Saccharomyces cerevisiae S288C: one gene and its partners. The protein of the gene in region 4 interacts with the protein of the main gene of each other region in a pairwise test. Each region holds a gene or a part of one and is shown on either strand. Other genes may lie near its edges.

What was found.
Region 1: the proteins of NFT1 (region 4) and COS1 interact in a protein complementation assay, tested with the Saccharomyces cerevisiae proteins (one large-scale study listed by BioGRID).
Region 2: the proteins of NFT1 (region 4) and COS8 interact in a protein complementation assay, tested with the Saccharomyces cerevisiae proteins (one large-scale study listed by BioGRID).
Region 3: the proteins of NFT1 (region 4) and PRO3 interact in a protein complementation assay, tested with the Saccharomyces cerevisiae proteins (one large-scale study listed by BioGRID).

What each region holds. Positions count from the first base shown.
Region 1 is NC_001146.8:5,549-10,844, reverse strand, and holds COS1 (Cos1p), read right to left. Parts: upstream 2,516-5,296; coding exon 1,370-2,515; downstream 1-1,369. Other genes in the region: YRF1-6 (Y' element ATP-dependent helicase protein 1 copy 6), read left to right, coding at 4,747-4,765, 4,914-5,296.
Region 2 is NC_001140.6:3,409-8,762, forward strand, and holds COS8 (Cos8p), read left to right. Parts: upstream 1-2,992; coding exon 2,993-4,138; downstream 4,139-5,354. Other genes in the region: YHL049C (uncharacterized protein), read right to left, coding at 318-1,133; YHL048C-A (uncharacterized protein), read right to left, coding at 2,255-2,389; ARN2 (siderophore transporter), read right to left, coding at 4,943-5,354.
Region 3 is NC_001137.3:199,233-204,179, reverse strand, and holds PRO3 (pyrroline-5-carboxylate reductase), read right to left. Parts: upstream 3,105-4,947; coding exon 2,244-3,104; downstream 1-2,243. Other genes in the region: carnitine O-acetyltransferase YAT2, read right to left, coding at 1-1,988; SRB4 (Srb4p), read right to left, coding at 3,305-4,947.
Region 4 is NC_001143.9:650,800-658,475, forward strand, and holds NFT1 (putative multidrug transporter NFT1), read left to right. Parts: upstream 1-2,280; coding exon 2,281-5,937; downstream 5,938-7,676. Other genes in the region: YKR104W (uncharacterized protein), read left to right, coding at 6,037-6,957.

The DNA of each region.
Region 1 (5,296 bases), on a different chromosome or scaffold from region 4:
AAAGGAATTTGAGCCCAAGGCACAGAAGCCAACTCTCGGATCTGCCGATCTGTGTTTTATCTTAGAGGATCCTTTGAATAACAGTTACGCATCTTGAAAGCTTGGATTTTCCAATTGAAGAGGGCACTGTAATCCGTACAGGCGCAGTCAACCCTATTATCAGTATACATCCGTGATTAAGATGAAAGTGTGATGGAAATATCAAATAGAATAAAAGAAACGGAATAGAGCTATTTTTTTTTTTATATTATAGACATAGTCTAAGCGAGTTTAACCTTTGAAATATAAAAAAAAACAAAAGGAAAAAAGTAGTATGTGGGCTGCACTAAACTAAAACCGTGAGGTATTTAGATATATATTCTACATTGTTTTACGTTATAGCATGTATAAACATACAAATACATACTGTGAGATGATTGTGGTATGACACAGTGTGTAATAGAGGAAGTGAAGAATGCCAAGAGCAGTTTTTTATCTATTTTCTGCGAATTTTCTTATGTCGGAAGTTATTCTCGGATAATATGCGGCTGCGCTAAAAATAGTTTATCGCATGCGTAAATCAGGGACCAATTCATAATGCTATAATGGACGTCGCAGTGCAGGAACTACTTGATTTTTTTTTTTTTTTTTAATTTTTTTCTTTCTATAGCTAGTCACACAGCCATTACCACCCAAAATTAAACTGTTTTATGTATGTTTAGTCACCAAATTATCAAAAGAGCATGATTTTTCTCCTGAGTATTTCAAAGTGAAATTTGAAATCTTACCAAGCCCTCAATATAAACCAATATTTCAAGAAAGCTAGAGACATTGCAAATATTTTGCTCATTCAAACATATAGCTAAGGCAAAGGGATACTAAAACTCAGCAACTTGATGAAAGTTCGAAAATAACTGACAGTGTATCTATAAAAGTTTCACTGTGGGAATGCAGTGTCCATCCAGTATTCAGCACAGGTTTTCCTAAGCCTTCTGTACATCCCTTCATTTAACAGTAAATGTGGAAAACAAGAAGGGTAATTGTGAAAGAGTCCGATTGTAGTTGATGAACAGTAAAATCACTTATTATTTAAGGATTCCGCTGCGGTATGCGTTTTCTACTGATGTGTGGAGCAAGCCACGCCATGTGATTAACCTTGCTTGATAAAAACACCAACCCATCGTTCAGAATATGCATGGAATACAGCATCTCTAGGAGGAGAAAGACAATAAGTTTAGCGCATATGGTAGGATGATAGCACACTGATTTCTGTCAACCAGTGAGAAATAGGGAAAAAGAAAATGGTTGTAATGGTAAAAAGTAGTCTCGTTTTGGTTATTCGCAGCTGACAAACTACAAAATATATAAATTGAAAAAGTTGTATTTATCTTTACGCTAAGGACTCCTCACTGCAGGATAATTGCGCTTCTTTAATATATGGCCATAGTTCCACATTCAATGATAGAGCCCGCATAGATTTCTTTGCAGAGAGAACGCGGTAGAAGAAGTGGCTAAAAAACCATTCACAGTCAATCCCGTCAAAGAAAAACTCTTCATTCTTCCAGACTTTTTTCTCAAACAAGTACCTATTCATTTTTTTTGCAATTTCGTCCCATCCATTCGCACCACTTTCTTGCTCATTTATAATAGTCGACAAGAACTGCATCTTGTGTTCCATTTTCACGGATAAAACGATCATCCTCATGTTTTGGAAACCTTGTACCAACATGAAAAGAATCCACCCGAGATAAAAGGTGCGTAATAGAAGGCACATTCCCCGTGACACATATATGCAGCACAAAAAATTAAGGAATGGTATCAACATAAAAATATTGGAAATCCTCTTTAAAAACCAAGTAAGCTTAAATCGGTAAGCTTCTTTGGGAAGTTTAGCATCTTCCAGGCCAACAGGGCTCCATGATTTCTCAGAATTAAACAACTTCCATTGTTTTTCAACTTCTCTAAAATAAACTCCCAATGCTTCTTCAATGTAAGGGACGGAATCCTTAAATGACTTAACCTTGGCAGCTTCGTCTTTTTTCAAAGAAAATGGTTCGAGAAGGGTTGTTCTGAACGCTTCTTGACAGACCATGGCATTGAAGAAAAAGTACTTAGTATTCCAAGCCTTATTTTCATATAAGTACGAATTTAGATTTGCTGCAACAACTTCCCAATCATGAGGATCAGAACTTGGTGTGTTTTCAGTAACCTCTTTGCAAAACTGAATGAGTTGTTTCGATAAGGAACGCTTACGAGAAAGTCCACAAATAACAAGGACAAATATTGGTCCCAGAAACAGGACCAGAAGTGAAACTATAAGTGGGTAAATACAATTGTTGGAAAGTTTCCACCAGACGCTAAGTGGTAGCCATAATAGCATCCAGATGCGAAACGCTAAGGACTTGTAAATTTCATAACAAAACCAGGTAAAGCTGCTTCTGAAAAGATCTTGAGGTAGAACAATCTTTTGGGATTCGAGCTGTTTGAAGGATAATACATCTACACTCTTCTCATTTTTAAGTTCATTCTCTTTCATTTTCGGTAGTGAGATGGCAGTTCGAGGGGTTTTTTATTCGAGATAGTAACTTCTGGCTTTTCGCTTTTATACAGCACAGCAGAAAAAAAAAGCCGCCGAGGCGCGCGCGTTCATGCAATGGCTCAGTAACCTCGTGATAGAAAAAGGGAAACAATATTGGGCTATTTTAGGCAAAGAAACTCAGCTATTCGAAAAGGGCATCCATTTCATTTCCGGTTTTCTATCTAGCCAACTCGATAATCGTAATAACGAATTTACAAAACTTTAATGCGGGTACATCACGGTGTGCCGTAACGTTGGTTTACATTTAAGGTGCGACCAGCAATGTCACTGCTCGTACAGCGGTTACCGCTTGAATGAAATACATATTTTAAGCGTAGATTTCCTGTGACAAAACTGTGTAAACATCTAGTAGAAAATAGACGTAGCTGTCACAAATATTTACACAGGAAGAGTCTGTCCTACGTATCTGACATGAAGATTCATAGAACCAAGTTACTTCCCAATGTGGACAACCTTTCGATACCATGTCAATAGCTTCCCCTTATGTTCGGTGTCACTGTAAAACGGATCAAAGCAAAACCTAGAGGTACGGTGGTACTCAGATTATGCATGACCTCTGGGTAATTAGCACTTCTCCCGCTTGTTTTGAGATTCTGTATATAAATATTGCAAACAAAAGGATAGAGCGCGGATGGCAGCCCTTACAGTAAAAATTATTCGTTTTAATCATGCGTCAGTGTGAGATTCTATGACAATAGTATGAGAAGATGGGGTGAAGTAAAAGCGTCTGTATGACTATAGAGTACAGTTATATTACAATATATGGAATAGAGCATAGTGGTATGACGTATTAAGGAACATTTAAGTTAATGACGTCATGGTGGTATTGATACGCAATTGAGTGTGTTTATGTATTATGGTTGAAGAATAGAATATTTTTATGTTTAGGTGATTTTAGTGGTGATTTTTTTGTAATATTGGCATAAGTGTATATAAATTGAGTGGTTAGTATACGGTGTAAAAGTGGTGTAACGTATGTATTAAGAGCAGTTATACAATATTTGGGGCCGCCGAATGAGATATAGATATTAAAATGTGGATAATCGTGGGAGTTATGGGTAAATGGCACAGGGTATAGACCGCTGAGGCAAGTGCCGTGCATAATGATGTGGGTGCATTTGGTACTGATTTAGTGAGAGATGGGCCATGGAGTGGAGTGGAATGTTATGGCAGGGTAAGTTGAGATGGTATATACTGTAGCATCCGTGTACGTATGACCGATCAGAATACAAGTGAAGGTGAGTATGGCATGTGGTAGTGGGATTAGAGTGGTAGGGTAAGTATATGTGTATTATTTACGATTATTTGTTAACGTTTCAATATGGAGGGTAGAACAACAGTATAGTGAGTAGCAGATGGTCGATGGTAGGGTAATGGTAGTAGAGTTGGATTTGGGTAATTGGAGGGTAACGGTTATGATGGGCGGTGGATGGTAGTAGTAAGTAGAGTGATGGATGGTGGTTGGGAGTGGTATGGTTGAGTGGGGCAGGGTAACGAGTGGGGAGGTAGGGTAATGGAGGGTAAGTTGAGAGACACGTTCATCAGGGTTAGAATAGGGTAGGGTTAGGGTTGTGATGGGTGTGGGTGTGGGTGTGTGGGTGTGGGTGTGGTGTGGGTGTGTGGGTGTGGTGTGTGGGTGTGGGTGTGGGTATATATATGTCACTGTATTGCATGCTGGATGGTGTTAGACAAGGCCGTAGGGACATATAGCATCTAGGAAGTAACCTTGTACGAAAATAGGCAATATTTCCTGTTTAGGCGATTGTGACGCAGATTTTAGTCCAACGATCTAGCGTCAAGGAATTTTTTTATAGTGGGACATTGCACCAAGGAAGTAACTTGATACGTCGTGGGTGAATGGGTCTGTTTTCTTATTCGGCGGGGTAATACATTTTTGGGGGAAGTTTGTCTGTCTGACGCGCCATATGTAGGTACGCCAAAAAGGGCTCCTCTACTTCGAAGCGCGAGGTCGTATACCTAATAAGGAAATGTAATTTATAACTTTCTATTATATTGGTCTTTTCGAGAGCGGAAGAAGTTGTAGGCTAAGCGCAGGCTAAGCGTAGGTCCATATTTAAAGTATCCAAGAGAATATCCACGAAGCGGCTGAGCAACGAACAGAATCCTGGTTCTCCTCGACTAAGCAGATAGTTAAGATACTGTGCACCATGGAAATTGAAAACGAACGTACGTACCGACTACTTTATTTTTGCAGGCCGGAAATCAAGCGATGAATGAGACATCCTTCTGCTTTCTATGTTGTGCTTGAAGGGGACAGACAGTCGCTTATCTTAGTGAGATTTCTTACTAACTGAATTTACTTTGCTGCTGCTAGAGATTTGCACCTGCATAGCGCAGATTCTGCATCTTCTCAATAGCTTAATTATTACATTCTTAGATGATGATAAGACGGAAACTGGACAATCTTTTGTTTATATTGATGGATTTCTTGTCAAAAAGCATAACAATCAACATACTATTGTTAATTTCGAAACTTACAAAAATAAAATGAAAGTTTCCGATAGGCGTAAGTTTGAAAAAGCAAACTTTGACGAGTTTGAGTCGGCTCTAAATAACAAAAACGACTTGGTACATTGTCCCTCAATAACTTTATTTGAATCGATCCCCACGGAAGTGCGGTCATTCTACGAAGACGAAAAGTCTGGTCTAATCAAAGTGGTAAAATTCAGAACTGGTGCAATGGATAGGAAAAGGTCT
Region 2 (5,354 bases), on a different chromosome or scaffold from region 4:
TTGGGCTCTCGGGGCCTTTTTCGCGTTACTCTTGAAATTTTTTGATCATGATCTGAACTCGCCGCCTCACCTGCCACTACGTCTTCCGCATTCCGAGTACTAGAGAATGAACAATGGTAGTCGCTTTCAAGGCCTAACCATTGAATCCAGCGCTCGGAAGTGAGTCCGTCAAGCGTCTTTAGTCGAGGCTCCGATGAACCGTTCTTGTTGTATCGTCGACGTATACGTTGCGCTGTAGCTCTGGATAACGGTAAGCGTATCACCGTAAGCTCGTCAATTATTTTTGAGAGCCGCGGTCATTTTGTTAGTATCTCTTCTCAACTTGGGCAGCACACATGCAAAACATCACCCAATCGGTCCTTTTTGTTCATCATATCGTTACATATCTGTGAAAAGTACTTTATCTCAGTGGGTTTACGTGGGCATAGATCACGCTTCAGCCGCTCTGTGTCGACTTTCTTTTCGCCAGGTAAACTTGCTTGGTATGCAGAAAAAATCGATAGCTCATCTACGTGTAGTAACAAAAACATGTGGGGTGCCAAATTGTACCCATATTTCCTTATGGTGCTTTTCTGAAGACTCCTTACAATAGGTGCGCCAGAAACAAAGTCAGTGAAAGTACGCATCGTAGAGCTGTCGTTCGGCCTGGCACTCGCTATTTCGTGACAACGTTCCAGGACACGGAAACTCAACTCATTATAGTATCCTCTGTTGAGGTAAAAAAGAGAAAGGGTATCGTAATCCTTTCTATTGAATTTCAAAGTATGCACTTGAAACAACGTGTAGACCATCAAGTTGATTTTCTTGGGAATAAGATACTTTGAAGGGATTGGTCCGCCCTGGAAATCTGGTTCGTCTTCAACAAACGTCAGGAACTTTTGTACATTTTTCCCGACCATGACGGAAACGACAATTTTTTCAAAAGACCTTTTCCTATCCATTGCACCAGTTCTGAATTTTACCACTTTGATTAGGCCAGACTTTTCGTCTTCGTAGAATGACCGCACTTCCGTGGGGATCGATTCAAATAAAGTTATTGAGGGACAATGTACCAAGTCGTTTTTGTTATTTAGAGCCGACTCAAACTCGTCAAAGTTTGCTTTTTCAAACTTACGCCTATCGGAAACTTTCATTTTATTTTTGTAAGTTTCGAAATTAACAATAGTATGTTGATTGTTATGCTTTTTGACAAGAAATCCATCAATATAAACAAAAGATTGTCCAGTTTCCGTCTTATCATCATCTAAGAATGTAATAATTAAGCTACTCTATTGAGAAGAAGCAGAATCTGCGCTATGCAGGTGCAAATCTCCAGCAGCAGCAAAGAAAATTCAGTTAATAAGAAATCTCACTAAGATAAGCGACTGTCTGTCCCAACATAGAAAACAGAAGGATGTCTCATTCATCGCTTGATTTCCGGCCTGCAAAAATAAAGCAGTCGGTACGTGCTTTCGTTTTCAATTTCCATGGTGCACAGTATCTTAACCGTCTGCTTAGTCGAGGAGAACCAGGATTCTGTTCGTTGCTCAGCCGCTTCGTGGATAAATTTTATTACCCCGCTGAGGTAGAGGAGCCCTTTTTGGCGTACCAAGTCACTTCCTAATGCTCCATGTCCCACCCACCATGTTGAAACGTTGACAAATGATCGTAAATAATACACACGTACTTACCCACACACACCACATGCCACACTCACTTGCACTTGTATACTGGTACGGCATACGCACACGGATGCTACAGTATATACCACTCTCAACTTACCCTACTTTCACATTCTACTCCACTCCATGACCCATCTCTCACTAAATCAGTACTAAATGCACCCACATCATTATGCACGGCACTTGCCTCAGCGGTCTATACCCTGTGCCATTTACCCATAACGCCCACGATTATCCACATTTTAATATCTATATCTCATTCGGCGGCCCCAAATATTGTATAACTGCTCTTAATACATACGTTATACCTCTTTTTCACCGTATACTAACCACTCAATTTATATACACTTATGCCAATATTACAAAAAAATCACCACTAAAATCACCTAAACATAAAAATATTCTATCCTTCAACCATAGTACATAAACACACTCAATTGCGTATCAATACCACCATGACGTCATTAACTTAAATGTTCCTTAATACCGTCATACCACTATGCTCTATTCCATATATTGTAATATAACTGTACTCTATAGTCATACAGACGCTTTTACTTCACCCTATCTTCTCATACTATTGTCATAGAATCTCACACTGACGCATGATTAAAACGAATAATTTTTACTATAAGGCCTCCCATCCGTGCTCTACCCTTTTGTTTGCAATATTTATACAGAATCTCAAAGCAAGCGGGAGAAGTGGTGATTACCCAGATGTCATGCATGATCTGAGCACCACCGTACCTCTAGGTTTTGCCTTGATCAATTTTACAGTGACACCAAGCATAAGGATAAAAAATGGTATTGAAAGGTTGTCCACATTTGTAAGTAACTTGGTTCTATGAATCTTCATGTCAGATACGTAGGACGGACTCTTTCCTGTGTAAATATTTGTGACAGCTACGTCTATTTTCTACTAGATGTTTACACAGTTTTGTCACAGGAAATCTACGCTTAAAATATGTATTTCATTCAAGCGGTAACCGCTGTACGAGCAGTGACATTGCTGGTCGCACCTTAAATGTAAACCAAAGTTACGGCACACCGTGATGCACCCGCATTAAAGTTTTGTAAATTCGTTATTACGATTATCGAGTTGGCTAGATAGAAAACCGGAAATGAAATGGATGCCCTTTTCGAATAGCTGAGTTTCTTTGCCTAAAATAGCCCAATATTGTTTCCCTTTTTCTATCACGAGGTTACTGAGCCATTGCATGAACGCGCGCGCCTCGGCGGCTTTTTTTTTCTGCTGTGCTGTATAAAAGCGAAAAGTCAGAAGTTACTATTTCGAATAAAAAACCCCTCGAACTGCCATCTCACTACCGAAAATGAAAGAGAATGAAGTCAAAGATGAGAAAAGCGTAGATGTGTTATCCTTCAAACAGCTCGAATTCCAAAAGACCGTTCTACCTCAAGATGTTTTCCGAAACGAATTGACCTGGTTTTGTTATGAAATTTACAAGTCTTTAGCGTTTCGCATCTGGATGCTGTTATGGCTACCACTTAGCGTCTGGTGGAAACTTTCCAGCAATTGGATTCACCCACTTATAGTTTCACTTCTTGTCCTGTTCCTGGGACCATTTTTTGTCCTTGTTATTTGTGGACTTTCTCGTAAGCGTTCCTTATCGAAACAACTCATTCAGTTTTGCAAAGAGATTACTGAAGACACACCAAGTTCGGATCCTCATGATTGGGAAGTCGTTGCAGCAAATCTAAATTCGTACTTCTATGAAAATAAGACTTGGAATACCAAGTACTTTTTTTTCAATGCCATGAGCTGCCAAAAAGCGTTTAAAACAACCCTTCTCGAACCCTTCTCTTTAAAAAAAGACGAATCTGCAAAGGTTAAGTCATTTAAGGATTCCGTTCCTTATATCGAAGAGGCCTTGCAAGTGTATGCTGCAGGATTTGACAAAGAGTGGAAGCTGTTTAATACTGAGAAGGAAGAGAGTCCTTTCGACCTGGAAGACATTCAGCTCCCCAAAGAAGCTTACCGATTTAAGCTTACCTGGATTCTTAAAAGGATTTTCAACCTGCGGTGTTTACCACTCTTCCTTTATTATTTTTTAATTGTCTACACGTCTGGAAATGCTGACCTTATATCACGTTTCTTGTTTCCGGTAGTAATGTTTTTTATCATGACGAGAGATTTCCAAAATATGAGGATGATTGTTTTATCCGTGAAAATGGAACACAAGATGCAGTTCTTGTCAACTATTATAAATGAGCAAGAAAGTGGTGCGAATGGATGGGACGAAATTGCAAAGAAAATGAATAGGTATTTGTTTGAGAAAAAAGTCTGGAATAATGAAGAGTTTTTCTACGATGGACTTGACTGCGAATGGTTTTTTAGGCGCTTTTTCTATCGTCTCTTATCTTTAAAAAAACCTATGTGGTTTGCTTCGTTGAACGTTGAGCTATGGCCATACATTAAAGAAGCGCAATCGGCCCGCAATGAGAAGCCCCTAAAGTAGGAACAAATGTTCCTTTTCCAAAATATACTATGTGTAGTTGATCGAATATCAGTAAGTCAAAACGTATTTTACTTGTTTATTATTATTAATACTCCTTTTCGCATATGTTTTATCACTTTACACCATACAATAACCACTAAATTCAAAAACACTTATTTTCAATATTTGTTATAGAAAAATAACCACTAAAATCACCTAAATATAAAAATATTCTACCCTTTAGCAATAAGACTGAAACACTTTACTTGGGGTAAGAATACTGCCATGGTGTCATTAACATGAAAGTTCAATAATGTTTTCATACTAATCAATATGTACACAGGCTTCACATTAGAACATCATATATTAAAGCGGTAACTTAAAATCCAGATAATACATTTTTGGTCATATAAGTGCTTTTTTTTTGTAGGATATAATCGCAAATGATATCACTACACTATGACATATTGTTGACGTAGTAAATTACGATTTAGCTTATATGTCATAATGTAGTAAGTTTATATATGTTATGTAAATGTAAGAATTACATAGGTACTGTTTTTGTACACAGAAGCTATAATTTCTCAAGTACTACCGGATTAGAGGTTTGCTACAATACGTTTTCCACTATATGTTTTCTATGTGTGAAACATTACTGAAACATTACTCATATTACGCTTTTGTGTTATCACATTAAACATATACATGGTAACAAATATTACTATCACTTATCTTGCTTCATCTTATGTACCATACAAAAATTACTGCGCATATCAGAGATCATTTTTTCGAACACATATCCTGTTGGGGTTTTGTAAATCTTTCTTATGACCTGCCTAAGGCCTTTGCAAAACGTTTCGCGATCCAGTCATTGATAGGATCATCTTCCTTGGTTTGGACATATTCTCTGTCAGGTAACTTTTGGGCAAAATCTTCAGTCAACCGAGGATCTCTTACGCAGAATGTTAGAAGGAACATAGGCGCTGAAAATACAAGCGCAACAATAACTTCGTATTTTTGAACGTGTCTGTAAGCTTCAACCATCGCAGACCTAACTGGAGTACCCCAGGGATTGGAAAGAATAAAAGTTAGTGGTGAGCCATATGCTGCTGTAGCCAGGTCAGCGTCTCCCATGTAGTGCAATAATTTAGGGTACAATGACTGCGTCCATATGGCACCGGAAATGGCAGCTGCAACTGCTCCACCTATTCTGAAAACTGTATAGTTTAATGCTGTG
Region 3 (4,947 bases), on a different chromosome or scaffold from region 4:
GGATTTTCGAAAAGATCTTTCGCAGCAGATGATTCATCACCACTTAAGTGGATACCAAAATGGTCATGAAATTTGAAGAGATATTTCAATGCATTGAAGTGTTTTTCATAACCTACCCCAGACTTTGCATGTTTAACCATGTTATTATGTGTTTCGCAGGTTTGGATAAATTTGTCTAATTTATCTGTCCCATCAATGGAGCTAGAAATAAACAATTGACATAGTTCCAACAGCGCTTGACTTTGAATGTTAATAAAAGATGATCTCGAGTTTTTGAAACCACGTGTGGATACTGGTTCTAATCCAAACACCATTCTTCCATACAAAGCATAGTGAGCTATTTGTAAAGCTACTTGAACCATCGAATCGGGCTTGACTCCTAATCTTTGAGCTGACCTTCTGCCCAATGGAATAGAAGCGCGAACAATATCATACTTGGAAATCAGATCAGCTAGTTTGGTTTCTGACAAATGGACATGTGTGTTCAGGATGTTACTGAAAGACCAATCGATTTTATTTACAACCAACTTAGGGTCAATTTCAGAAGGGCCTCCGCCGTCGGCACTTATGGTCGCCGTCATCAGTTTTTTAGTTTCAGGATCCATTTGTGTCACGTTAGGCCAGAGTGAAAACTGTGGGTCACCGGCGTTAACGTCTCTAGCTAATCTCAAGACTGATTCTGTATAAATTTCAGAAGTAAACCGAAGCACGACTGACCCGTCACATGTGAAGGAATCCCAAATCACTGTGGCTTTTGCATCTGCAGTGACAACTAACTGTAATTTATCATACCAACGAGAAACACATGAACCCACTTGATGGCCTTTGCTATTTATTATAGAAGTACCGTAAAACACTCTCTTACAATTGGCGGAAGTACATTTCTTGTCTCGCTCAGTGATAGTCCTGTTAAACATTTGACTGATATCAGCGGTATCATCGCCATCATTGGTAGTTTCTTCTTGTGATTCGTCCAGCACTAACACGAACAGAGCAGAGTCTATGCGATGTAATTCATTAGGATACCTTTTCTGTAGTCTCTTCCTTGCATATTTCCAGTTTCTAAAAGAGTGAGAGGTCAAACTACCTAACGCAGTTGATTTTTCAATGCCAGAAGAATCTTTTATTATATGGTTGAAAATTGTGGTTAATTCTGCAGCAGTGTATATAATTTTATTCGTCGAATCAAGTACTTCCAGTGTATAGTATTGGCCCCTGGAGATGATCAAGATGTGTTTGCTATCCGGATGTCTTTTTATAGTTATACCATTGCCAGTGAATATGTCTTCTTCGTGTTTTCTTTTACGGTCATCAAAGTCTTTTTGGGTGGGTTCGTCGTTATCGTCCTCATCGCTTGAATAATCAGGGTCTTCTAAATCAGATGCTGTGTAAGGTTTGTTCAAATCAAAATTTTCAACCTCACCGCGCTGAAAAACAGGACTACGAGTAGTACCGAACAAGTTCAGAAATGGAGCCATTGACAGTGGTTTGCCATTGGTGGCATTGATATCTGGTGGCAACAAATCTTGTTTCAAAGCAGAAATAAACCTGGCCGCAGAGTGCACTAGGACGGCTGACCTATCAGCTTGAGTGATGTTTGGCAAAGCGTCATCTGCGAGAACCAAGAAGGGATTCCTGGGTAGGACATCGTCCTGAATCTCCCTAGTGGAGGTCTGGTTATTGATGTCTAAGTGTAATTCATCAAGGTAGCAATCCCTAGTGTCATGGTAGCTCTGTAGTTTAGATTGCAGCTTCTCACTTACGGGATTCTCTTCAAAATCTCTTATTATGGATGACAGCTTCTCAATTTGTTCTGGATCTAAAGGATGTTGATAGTAACCATCAGCATAATACAATGGCTCTAAACTCTCCTTCAGACGCTGCAAAGTGTCACAGAGTTTAGGTAATGGTAACTTGGGTAGTTCTTCCTCATGCTTAAATGTTCGCCCCGACTTGTCAGACGAAACAATAGTACTGCCGCTTGACATGGTTGCTTAGTTTTATTTTAATTTTGATTTTTGATTTTCATTTCAAATGAATCAATTGCTCTTACTCATTACAAACACATTTATATAATTTTTTTCTTTTATACGCTCCAATTAGTGTCATTATTATGGGGTAGTCATTCATCGTGATGATTCATTATCGGACCGACGGGAAAATGACGAAAAAATGCAAGGTCAGTAATAAAAAAATAATATACGGCTACAAAGCGAACATACATACATTTCACGCAAAGCAATCTATTTCTTCTTTTGGCCTAATTGTGACGCAACACGGGCTGCCTCTTCAACACCATTGATAATACCGCTCTTGACGCCCTTTTCTTCCATTACGCACAACCCGGCAATAGTTGTACCACCTGGTGTGCAAACTTGATGCTTTAAAACGGATGGATGAGCACCGCTTTTCTCAACCATCTTCACTGTTCCTTCTAGAACTTTCATGGCACACTCCTTACTCTCTTGTAATGGGATTCCCAATTTCAACCCACTCTCCATCAAGGATTCTAACATCAAGAGAACAAAAGCGGGGCCTGAACCGACTAAAGCCGTAGCAGCATCCATGTTCTTTTCTGGAAGCTCAACGTATTTACCAACTTGGCTAATCAATTCGTTGACCAGTGGCTTTTGCTCTTTGGAAACATCAGCTGAGTAGGACACCACCGCACAACCATATCCGTACTTGGCAGGTGTGTTCGTCATAACACGGCAAACAGTGCTAGTGTATTGACTCAATTGGTCAATTGTCCAGCCAGCAGCCAGGGAAATAAGTAGCTTTCCCCCAATGACGCTCTTCACACCATTCAACACTTCTTCGGCCAAAAATGGCTTGGTACCAAGAAGAACTACAGAAGCTTCTTCGACAGCGCTCACGTTGTGACCGTAAGTGCTTTCGACTTTAATACCGTTAGGAGATTCGTCGAATGTCTCAACTAGATCGGTAACTTGTTGTGCACTAGGTTCATCATGGTTACATGTGATAATTTTGGAAGGGTAAAATGCAGCAGCAGTTTCATCAGCCGCCTTTGGAGCATTATAAATGGCGGAAAGAAGTGCTTGGCCCATAACACCGCAGCCTAAAATTGCCAATGTGTAAGTCATATCTGTAGTTGGTTTGTTTGCTATTGGTGTTGTGTTACTTCTATTGTTGTTACACCGTTCTTAACCTGGCAATGTTATTAAATCCTTCATATTCTTGTTTTCGAAGATAAGATCTTGTCCTTTTGTACGTATGCGACTTTATATAGTAATAAATGGCATTCTATGGCAATGTATGTAGGTTTAAGGAGTGACTCAGGATATTACACCTTCTTTTGCTGGATGTACTCAGCGACAATAAAATGTAGGAAGTCCTCTACTTCTTTAAAATCAGAAAATGTTGTGTCAAAGGACACTGCGTTGGCTTCCGTACCAGCTGAAAACTTGATGTGAATGAGTGCGTTACAATAGTTAGGACTTTCGAGCATTAAACTTAGATTAGGGCTTTTGTGCTCAGTTAATGGTAGATTTATTTTGAGTTCACGTCTAGGTATATTCAATAGTTTATCGAAGGCACGGATCTCTTTATTTAATTTAGTTATATTTTCATCATCAATGTTTTTATTTTCTTGAGGTTGTTCTCTCTCAACTTCCGTTTCTGTTATACTTGAGCCAGGAACTATATCGAGCACGTAATCCTTTATGATTTTTTTTAGTAACAGTTTGTAATTAGCAAACCGAACTTTACCAAGAATGGGACGTATTATTAAGATATCATCGTCAACATTCAAATTGATCAGTCCGTGGGGTGAGCTTATTCTCGATCGTAATGTTTTCTTGAATATAACGACTAATAATAGTCTCAACATAACAAGCATTAAATTTGCTCTCTTGTCGTTGATTTTTGGTAAGTCTTGTTCATGATTGACAATGGAGTCATCGTCAAGGGACAACAACTCGATTTCAAATTTTTCGTTAGGTAGTTCAATTATTACCTTGTTTTCGTTTTCAATACTGACACCATAGGAAATCAACAAAGCGCATTCTTTCTTTATTTGGTACATCAGTTCTTTTTCAAAAATGATCTTTTTCAAAAGTTGGATTTGCTTTCTGATATCTTTCGTTTCAGCTTCTTCACTTTCACTATCCCTATCCATCACACTTTCGCCACTCAATATGTAATCATCTTCTGATTCGATTTTTGTGAAGATACGAACCCTTAAGAATTTCTTTACTGAATGTACGAAATCAGTGCCTTTGAACACTGAACTACTGTGGGGTATCAAATCCAAATTTTGTGATTCTATATTATTCCTTATATTAGCAATACCTCTGTCATGCTTATAGGTAGATCCAGAGTCTTCGTAACCATACTTAATTGCCAACAGCTTTTGACCACTAGTCCTGTCCCTAATCTTAAAAATAACATCCTTGTTGCTAATACTCTGCATTATCTTATTCCAATAGTCATGTTCGTTCTGTAATATGGAACTCAGTTTATTAAAACTTGCGCGTAGGAGATCTTTAGATTCGTTTAAACTTTGTAACTTCCATCCCTTATTCAATATATCCAACTCGATATATTCTTTTTTTGTAGGTGCAACATATGGAATTTTATCACTGTTTAAACTAGAAGGTTTAACAACTTTCCTAAGAAATGGTGACATTGATGACATACCTGTAGACTCTTTAACACTCGACAGTAGCAAAGAAACGAATTCCAAAGCCAAAGACGATTCGTTCATGGCCAGATTTATATGCTCTAGCATATCCCTCCTTCTTTTAACAAACTGTTCCTGTGTCATTACCGTTTCAATATTATCATCGGTCTCGCCATTTTCATTCGTTTTGTGGTCTGTTTCATTTCGTGAATCCACTGGATTATCTTTATCTTCATAATCCACTTCCATGAAATCTTCTCCAATTTGTACATTCTCATCAGCGCCATCAGTGTCCTTCTTCTCGC
Region 4 (7,676 bases):
TAACAAACAGAACAGACTCTTTATCCATCCGAATTCTAGTAAGTAATTATTCTGTTCACTTCTATCCAACGAAATGGGCGTACGATTGAAATAACAGTTGATTGAAATTATAGGGGCCCTATTCGCCTTCTACAAAGCACAAGGAAAGGAACATTTACAATGAATAATACGAAACAGCTGGCAAATGTGCTGAAAACCATTGAGCGATGTTACCACGCTGAGATCCATGTTTTCAAGAGTGGGCTGTACTATAATGAACCAATGTGTTCTTTAAAATTGTTAGTGTGTTTTCCCAACATGAAATTGCTACTGGAAGAAATTGATATTGTAATAATATATGTGAGTATCTAATCACACACTGGCTGCATCACATTGATTCATGTTATGTTTTTGAAATTAATGTATTCGTTGTGCATGGATGTTACACATATCCTAAACCTAAATTATGAGTACAAACACACCTAGGTAGAGAGCTCTACGTCGTCTTAGTTCTCAGCTTGTAAGCTTTAATTTACGCGAAAAGCTATTTACAATTTTTTATTTGAAAATTGATCGCATAACTTAATGAAAGTGTACAAAGTAGGATAGGCATTCTTTGGTACCGATTTTCTGAATTGTCACCAGCAAAGCCTCATTTATTTGAAATCATGAAACTTGTTAACGATTAAATCTAGCATGGCGATACTCGGAAAGTCCATAAAGAACTTCTGGCAAGAGCCGAAATTCACGGTAATTTTAATTGAGCACCACTATAGCAGTGTCTTTATTGAGTTGGCTAACACTAAGGTCGTATTCAGTACTTCTGAATTTCCAGATAATATAATAGACGCTCATACTAAGAAAATATTCACTATAAGAACCTTTCACAAATACTAACCTAGAATATTTATCTTTCTATTTGAGTAAGAATGGAAAATAAAAAAGTGTTAATAAGGTATAACAGAGTGTATTTTCAACCGTAAAGAAATGAATAAGAATAAACGCGATTTAAGCTTAATAGAAAGTACATAAGCAACGTCGCGAACCGGTAATGGAAAAAATAATTGTTTTATCGCTTTTCTTCAGAGGGTTTTTGTAATCGATATTTGGGTGGAAAATTCTGGGGCCCTACGAAATGACGAACTAAAAGCCAAGAGTTCTAAAACCCTTCAGTGTAGTGCTTTTTGAAAAGCCAGTTTTGTTATGAGCAACAAATACATGTGAGCTTAGAAAGATAGATTGAGCTTACCTGAATCAATGTGAATCGAAAATTTCCTCCGTCCTACAAGTATATATTGGAGGAAGATAAAACCAAGATTGATGCACTGCGTTTTGTAAATAGGTTCTGGGATTACCAACGTACTTCTTGATAAAATGGGCTATTTTTAAACGCTTTACTTTTTTTCTTCAGCGGAACCCGGTGGTTTTTATGATCTTTATACTTAATTGATGATTACAGTTTTGGAATCAAAAGCTTTATTCGGAATATTGTGCAAATATATTGTTGTTTTTATTGGATAATGGTGTCTAGATTTAACCAAGATATTAGATTTATTTCGCTTATAGCATCATTTTTTTTTTGATCAAAATTTTCAACTCTTTGAAAGTGCCATATTTCACAAAATATAACATTTGTCCCACGATTTAGAAAAATACCATAATCACTCTTCAACAATTTTATTTCTTTACTCTCCTACTACAGTTGCGTACATTTTAACTACACGTTTAAAATATTCAAGATTTATGAGACTGTCATCGAATGGTATATAAAATAAAAAAAAATTATATCTTAGAGTCCTAGTTTAATAGAAAGAATAAAAAAGGTCACGGAACATCACTTTCTAACATATCTTCCTGGGTTTCATCTTTACTAGAACTGACGGTCAAAGGTCTTTGGAGAGTACTCGCTTTTTTGATGAAAATCACGATAGTTAATTTTTCCGCCATGTTGTAACTTTCTCAAAACTGCAATTTCAGGGTGTCCAATTTACTGTCAATATGCAACCAAAAATATAACAAAGTCCTTTTGAGCAAATAAAGTCGGACATGACAGTACAACGCATGATCGATTATTAAACGAAAATGGGATATCATACTGTTTTAGAAGTTATTGGGTGCATTACTCTGTCATAAAAAAATCATGTTACTATCTATAAAAAATGCCTAAAAAATTGGATTACCACTTGTTATGGAAAGATCAGTAAAATATAGGATAACCATAGCGTAAGTCTGGCGTTCTGGAATATTTGTTTTTTAGTTATTAAACATACTTTTCACGATTCACAGTATTAATTTTTAGGAATGATAAAAAATGGTACATGCCCCTATTGGGAACGTGATGATCTTTCGGAATGTGCTAGGCGAGAATATATCGAGTTTAAATTTCCTCTATTTATATTGTTGACTGGTATGATATACGCGTTTTGCAAAGTCTTTCGAGCCTTTTATCTAAGGGGGAAAAATCATACAAATGAAGCGCCAGAATTTGAAGAACAAGGTAATGGAAACCACGAATATGCAAGGTTCTCAGTTTTAAGACTAAAATCTGCATGGGAAAGCCGTAGCTTTTGTAATGTTAATAATAGATCTACTTTCGACAAATTCAAAAAATTTATAGAGGGTGCCTTCATTGTTTTGCAGCTTACTATCCACCTGTATATTTTATCTAGTATGCCAATGGATAACAAAAAGTTCTTTCACCAAGGTTTTCTGGTTCAAATGTTTCTCTGGATTTTACTGCTTGTTGTTATTACACTTCGTTTAATTTCAGCAAGCCAGTCATTTCGGTGGGTTTTAGCATGTAAGCGTGATTTATGGGCTGTTTCGTTTTACTCATATGCATCCCTGTTTACTCTTTCGATTTTACCTCTTCGTTCCGTCTTCATTGGAAAGATAAAAGATAAAATTATGGTCAAATATATCATTTCCGAGACTTTCATTGATTTAGCGCTTTTATTATTATTATCAACGTCAAGTATAGAAGGAACTAGGTACTCATTTTTGGTTGAAAATGAGAACAAAAAGTTGCCACCGGCTCCTACCGTCTTTGGCCTTCTTACTTTTTCTAGGATTGATCGGCTTATTTGGAAAGCATACAAACACTGCCTTGGAAACGCTGATATTTGGGATTTGGATATTAATAATAAGTCTATAGCAATTTTGGCGAACTTTGAAATGTCTTCTAAAAAAGGAAGGCTCCTTCCAAACATTATTTGTTATTTTAAGGCTGTTTTCATCTCCCAATTATTTCTGGCTTTTGTATCTAGTTTTTTGAACTTTGTACCCTCATTGTTGATGCCAAGAATACTATCATACGTTAATGACCCAAAGTCAAAATCATGGAACTTGGTGTCTTTATACGTCTCATCTATGCTCGTCAGTAAAATCATTGCCACGACTTGTAGAGGTCAAGGATTGTTTTTAGGTGAAAAGGGTACTATGCAACTAAGAACAGTTTTGATATCCAATATCTATTCCAAAACCTTAAGAAGAACAATTCTAAAAGACTCAACAACGTCACTTCAAAAAAATGCGTCAACATCCTTTGAAGAAAATCCTGACTCTTCTGAAGCGGAACCTAGAAAAAAGTCTAGTAGGAAAGACAACTCTGTGAACAATGTTATGTCAATTGACGCTTTCAAGGTTTCTGAAGCTATGAACACTTTTTATCTGGCATGTGAAGCAGTTTTCATGACAGTTACGGCCCTAATGATACTATATTCCCTACTGGGATGGTCCGCCTTTGCTGGTACCTTTGCTCTTCTTGCCATGATTCCTTTGAATTTTTGGTGTGCAACTTTTTACGGGAACTATCAGGCCGATCAATTAATCCTAACTGACAAGCGTACCTCTGGGATTAGTGAGGCTCTGAACTCAATACGTGTAATAAAGCTACTGGCATGGGAAAATCTGTTTTATCAAAAGATTATAAACGTAAGAGATGGGGAAATAAGACTCCTTAAAAAGAAGGCAACAATTTTCTTTTTGAACCATCTCATTTGGTTCTTTGGGCCCACTTTGGTCTCTGCAATAACATTCTCAGTGTTTATTAAATTCCAAAATCAGACACTTACTCCTACAATAGCATTTACAGCTCTTTCTTTATTTGCAATATTGAGGACACCCATGGACCAAATTGCTTCGACTGTCAGCCTTTTGATACAGTCTTTTATTTCTCTTGAAAGAATCCAGGATTATCTTAATGAATCAGAAACAAGAAAATATGAGATTTTGGAACAAAGCAATACTAAATTTGGCTTTGAAGATGCAAGCATGGAATGGGAAGCTGCTGAAACAAGTTTTAAACTTAAGAACATTTCTATTGATTTTAAGCTGAATAGTCTCAACGCAATTATAGGTCCGACTGGGTCAGGAAAGTCTTCGCTATTACTTGGACTATTGGGAGAATTGAACCTTCTTTCTGGAAAAATATACGTACCTACAGTTGAATCCCGCGACGACTTAGAGATTGGTAAAGACGGAATGACGAATTCAATGGCATATTGTTCTCAAACTCCGTGGTTGATTAGTGGAACAATTAAAGATAACGTTGTTTTTGGAGAAATCTTCAACAAACAAAAATTTGATGATGTAATGAAATCCTGTTGTCTTGACAAAGATATCAAAGCAATGACAGCTGGCATAAGAACAGACGTGGGTGATGGAGGATTTTCCTTATCTGGCGGACAGCAGCAAAGGATTGCTTTAGCCAGAGCAATTTACTCCTCTTCCAGGTATTTGATCCTTGATGATTGCTTGAGTGCAGTAGATCCTGAAACTGCACTTTATATATATGAAGAGTGTTTATGCGGCCCCATGATGAAAGGAAGGACCTGCATCATTACGAGTCATAATATTTCTTTAGTTACGAAACGGGCTGACTGGCTTGTGATTTTAGATCGTGGCGAGGTGAAATCACAGGGTAAACCATCGGACCTCATTAAATCTAATGAGTTTTTGAGGGAAAGCATAAACAATGATTCAAAAAATACAACTCACAATCAAATTGACTTGAAAAGATCAACAACATCAAAGAAAACTAAGAATGGAGATCCCGAGGGAGGGAACTCGCAAGACGAAGTGTGTGCTGAAGTTGAAAATTTTGAGGAAACAAAAATGGAAGGATCAGTTAAATTTTCAGCTTACAAATGGTTAGCAGACTATTTCGGGGGACTGGGAGTTGTTTTTGTTTTCACCTCGTCCTCCATCCTTATTCATGGAATCACACTGTCTCAGGGCTTTTGGCTCAGATACTGGCTGGACACTGGATCTTCAGGGAGTAAGTCTACCTGGCTTTATAGAATAGTTGAGGGTCACTCTAACATCTATTTCTTACTGACTTATATTATCATAGGTCTTGTTTCTTCATTTTTAACTTCTGGTAAAGTTTGGATAGCAATAATTTCAGGTACCAACGTCACCAAGAAAATATTTGCGAAGCTTCTATCCAGTATCTTATATGCCAAGTTACGTTTTCATAATGTCACGCCGACTGGAAGAATAATGAACAGATTTAGCAAGGATATGGATATTATTGATCAACAATTGATCCCTAATTTCGAAGGACTCTCTTATAGCGTCGTTGTTTGTCTGTGGATTATACTTTTAATTGGATATGTTACTCCTCAATTTCTGTTATTTGCTATTCCTTTATGCGCTCTTTATTATACCGTATGTACGTTATATCTTCGTGCATCTAGAGAGTTGAAGAGAATAGATAACATCAATATCTCTCCAATACACCAGTTATTCGCTGAAGCCATCAAAGGAGTAACTACAATTAGAGCATTAGCAGATGAGCGTAGGTTTATCACTCAATCTTTGGTTGCAATTGACAGAAGTAATGCTCCATTTTTTTATCTCAATATGGCCACCGAGTGGATCACATATAGAGTGGATATAATTGGGACACTTGTTCTTTTTAGTTCTTCTGTAATGATCATAATGAAGGCCTCATAGTTGGATGCGGGGCTAGCGGGGATACTGTTATCGAATGCCTTTTCCTTTACTGAAACTGCTCAATGGATCATAAAAGTATTTTCAAGCGTTGAACTTTTGATGAGTTCAGTAGAGAGAATAAAAGAATATACAGATATACCTTCCGAATCAAACGGCTACATATCACCTCCAGCTAATTGGCCTCAAACAGGAGATGTTGAACTAAAAAACTTATCATTGCGCTATTCTCCTCATTCCTCTAAGGCACTAGATAATGTATCATTCAAGGTAAAAGCAGGAACAAAAGTTGGTATTGTTGGTAGAACAGGGGCTGGGAAATCTTCTATTATAGCGGCTATTTACCGGCTTTCAGACTGGGAAAACGGTACGATTACTATTGATAACAAAGACATAAAACATATCCCTTTAGAGCGTTTAAGAAATTCTATAAGCTGCATCCCACAGGATCCTACTTTATTTGATGGAACTGTTCGATCTAATTTAGATCCTTTCGATCGGTATTCTGATGTACAAATTTATGGCGTACTATCCAAAGTGGGATTAATTGAAGAATGCGATGAATTGTGCTTGATTTTTGAGCAAGAGCAGCCTAATTTTTCTAGTCATAAACTAAGAAATAGATTCATTGATTTGAATACTGTTGTGAAATCAGGTGGTTCAAACTTATCTCAAGGGCAAAGACAACTTTTGTGCTTGGCACGATCCATGCTTGGTGCACGTAATATAATGCTAATTGACGAAGCAACCGCCTCAATAGATTATATTTCTGATGCTAAAATTCAGAAAACTATAAGAGAAACAATGAAAAATACAACAATTTTGACTATTGCTCATCGATTAAGGTCAGTAATAGATTATGACAAAATTCTGGTGATGGAAATGGGCAGAGTCAAGGAGTATGATCATCCATACACTCTAATATCTGATCGAAATACCATTTTTTACCGCCTCTGTAGGCAGAGTGGCGAGTTCGAAAACCTTTTCGAGTTGGCTAAAGTCTCATTCGATAATAAAAGATAAGACAACTAGAATTTCCTATTTTTATTCATTCCAGTTCTAGCTACGAAGTATACGATCTGCTTACGTCATATATTTGTGTGTAATTAGAAGGCATTCAGGAAGTCGCTTTTAACTTTTCAGGGCTATATGTCCTAATCCACTACTTTTTTTGAGAACTTTAAGAAATAACTCCTTTGAACCTGTCTGTGCCAAACAAAATTTTGCTGGTACATTTTATGGTATATAAACAAGCTACGTTATTATTACTTTTTTTTGATAGTTTTACTTATACTAGAAAATAATATTATATCATCACAAAAGAAACTCTCTCGTTAAGAATCCCGAATATTCAGCAGGAGCAAAAAAAAAATACCATAATTTAAATGCTTATTCAGTACTTAGCTGCTGATTTTATCGCAAGTATACTATTGGAGAGTACCGTGGTTCATATCGTGCTATTTTTATCTATATTTAAATTTATAGAAGTTTATCGTAGTATACTATGTAATTCTCTGCCGTATTGGCGGCAAAGACAAAAGCACTGACAGTAAACAGTTTTTCTGATGAGAATTTATGTCGAGGAACAAACGAAAATTTTGCTGGCCAAATTTGCTTACGCCTTTAATGTGATTGCGGTTGAGGTCTGTTATTACGCAGCTGCTATCATGTGTCTATTTGAGATTCTCTTTACAGGTTATCGCTGCATTTTTGTCAAGAAAAGAAAAGAAGACAACCTTTTT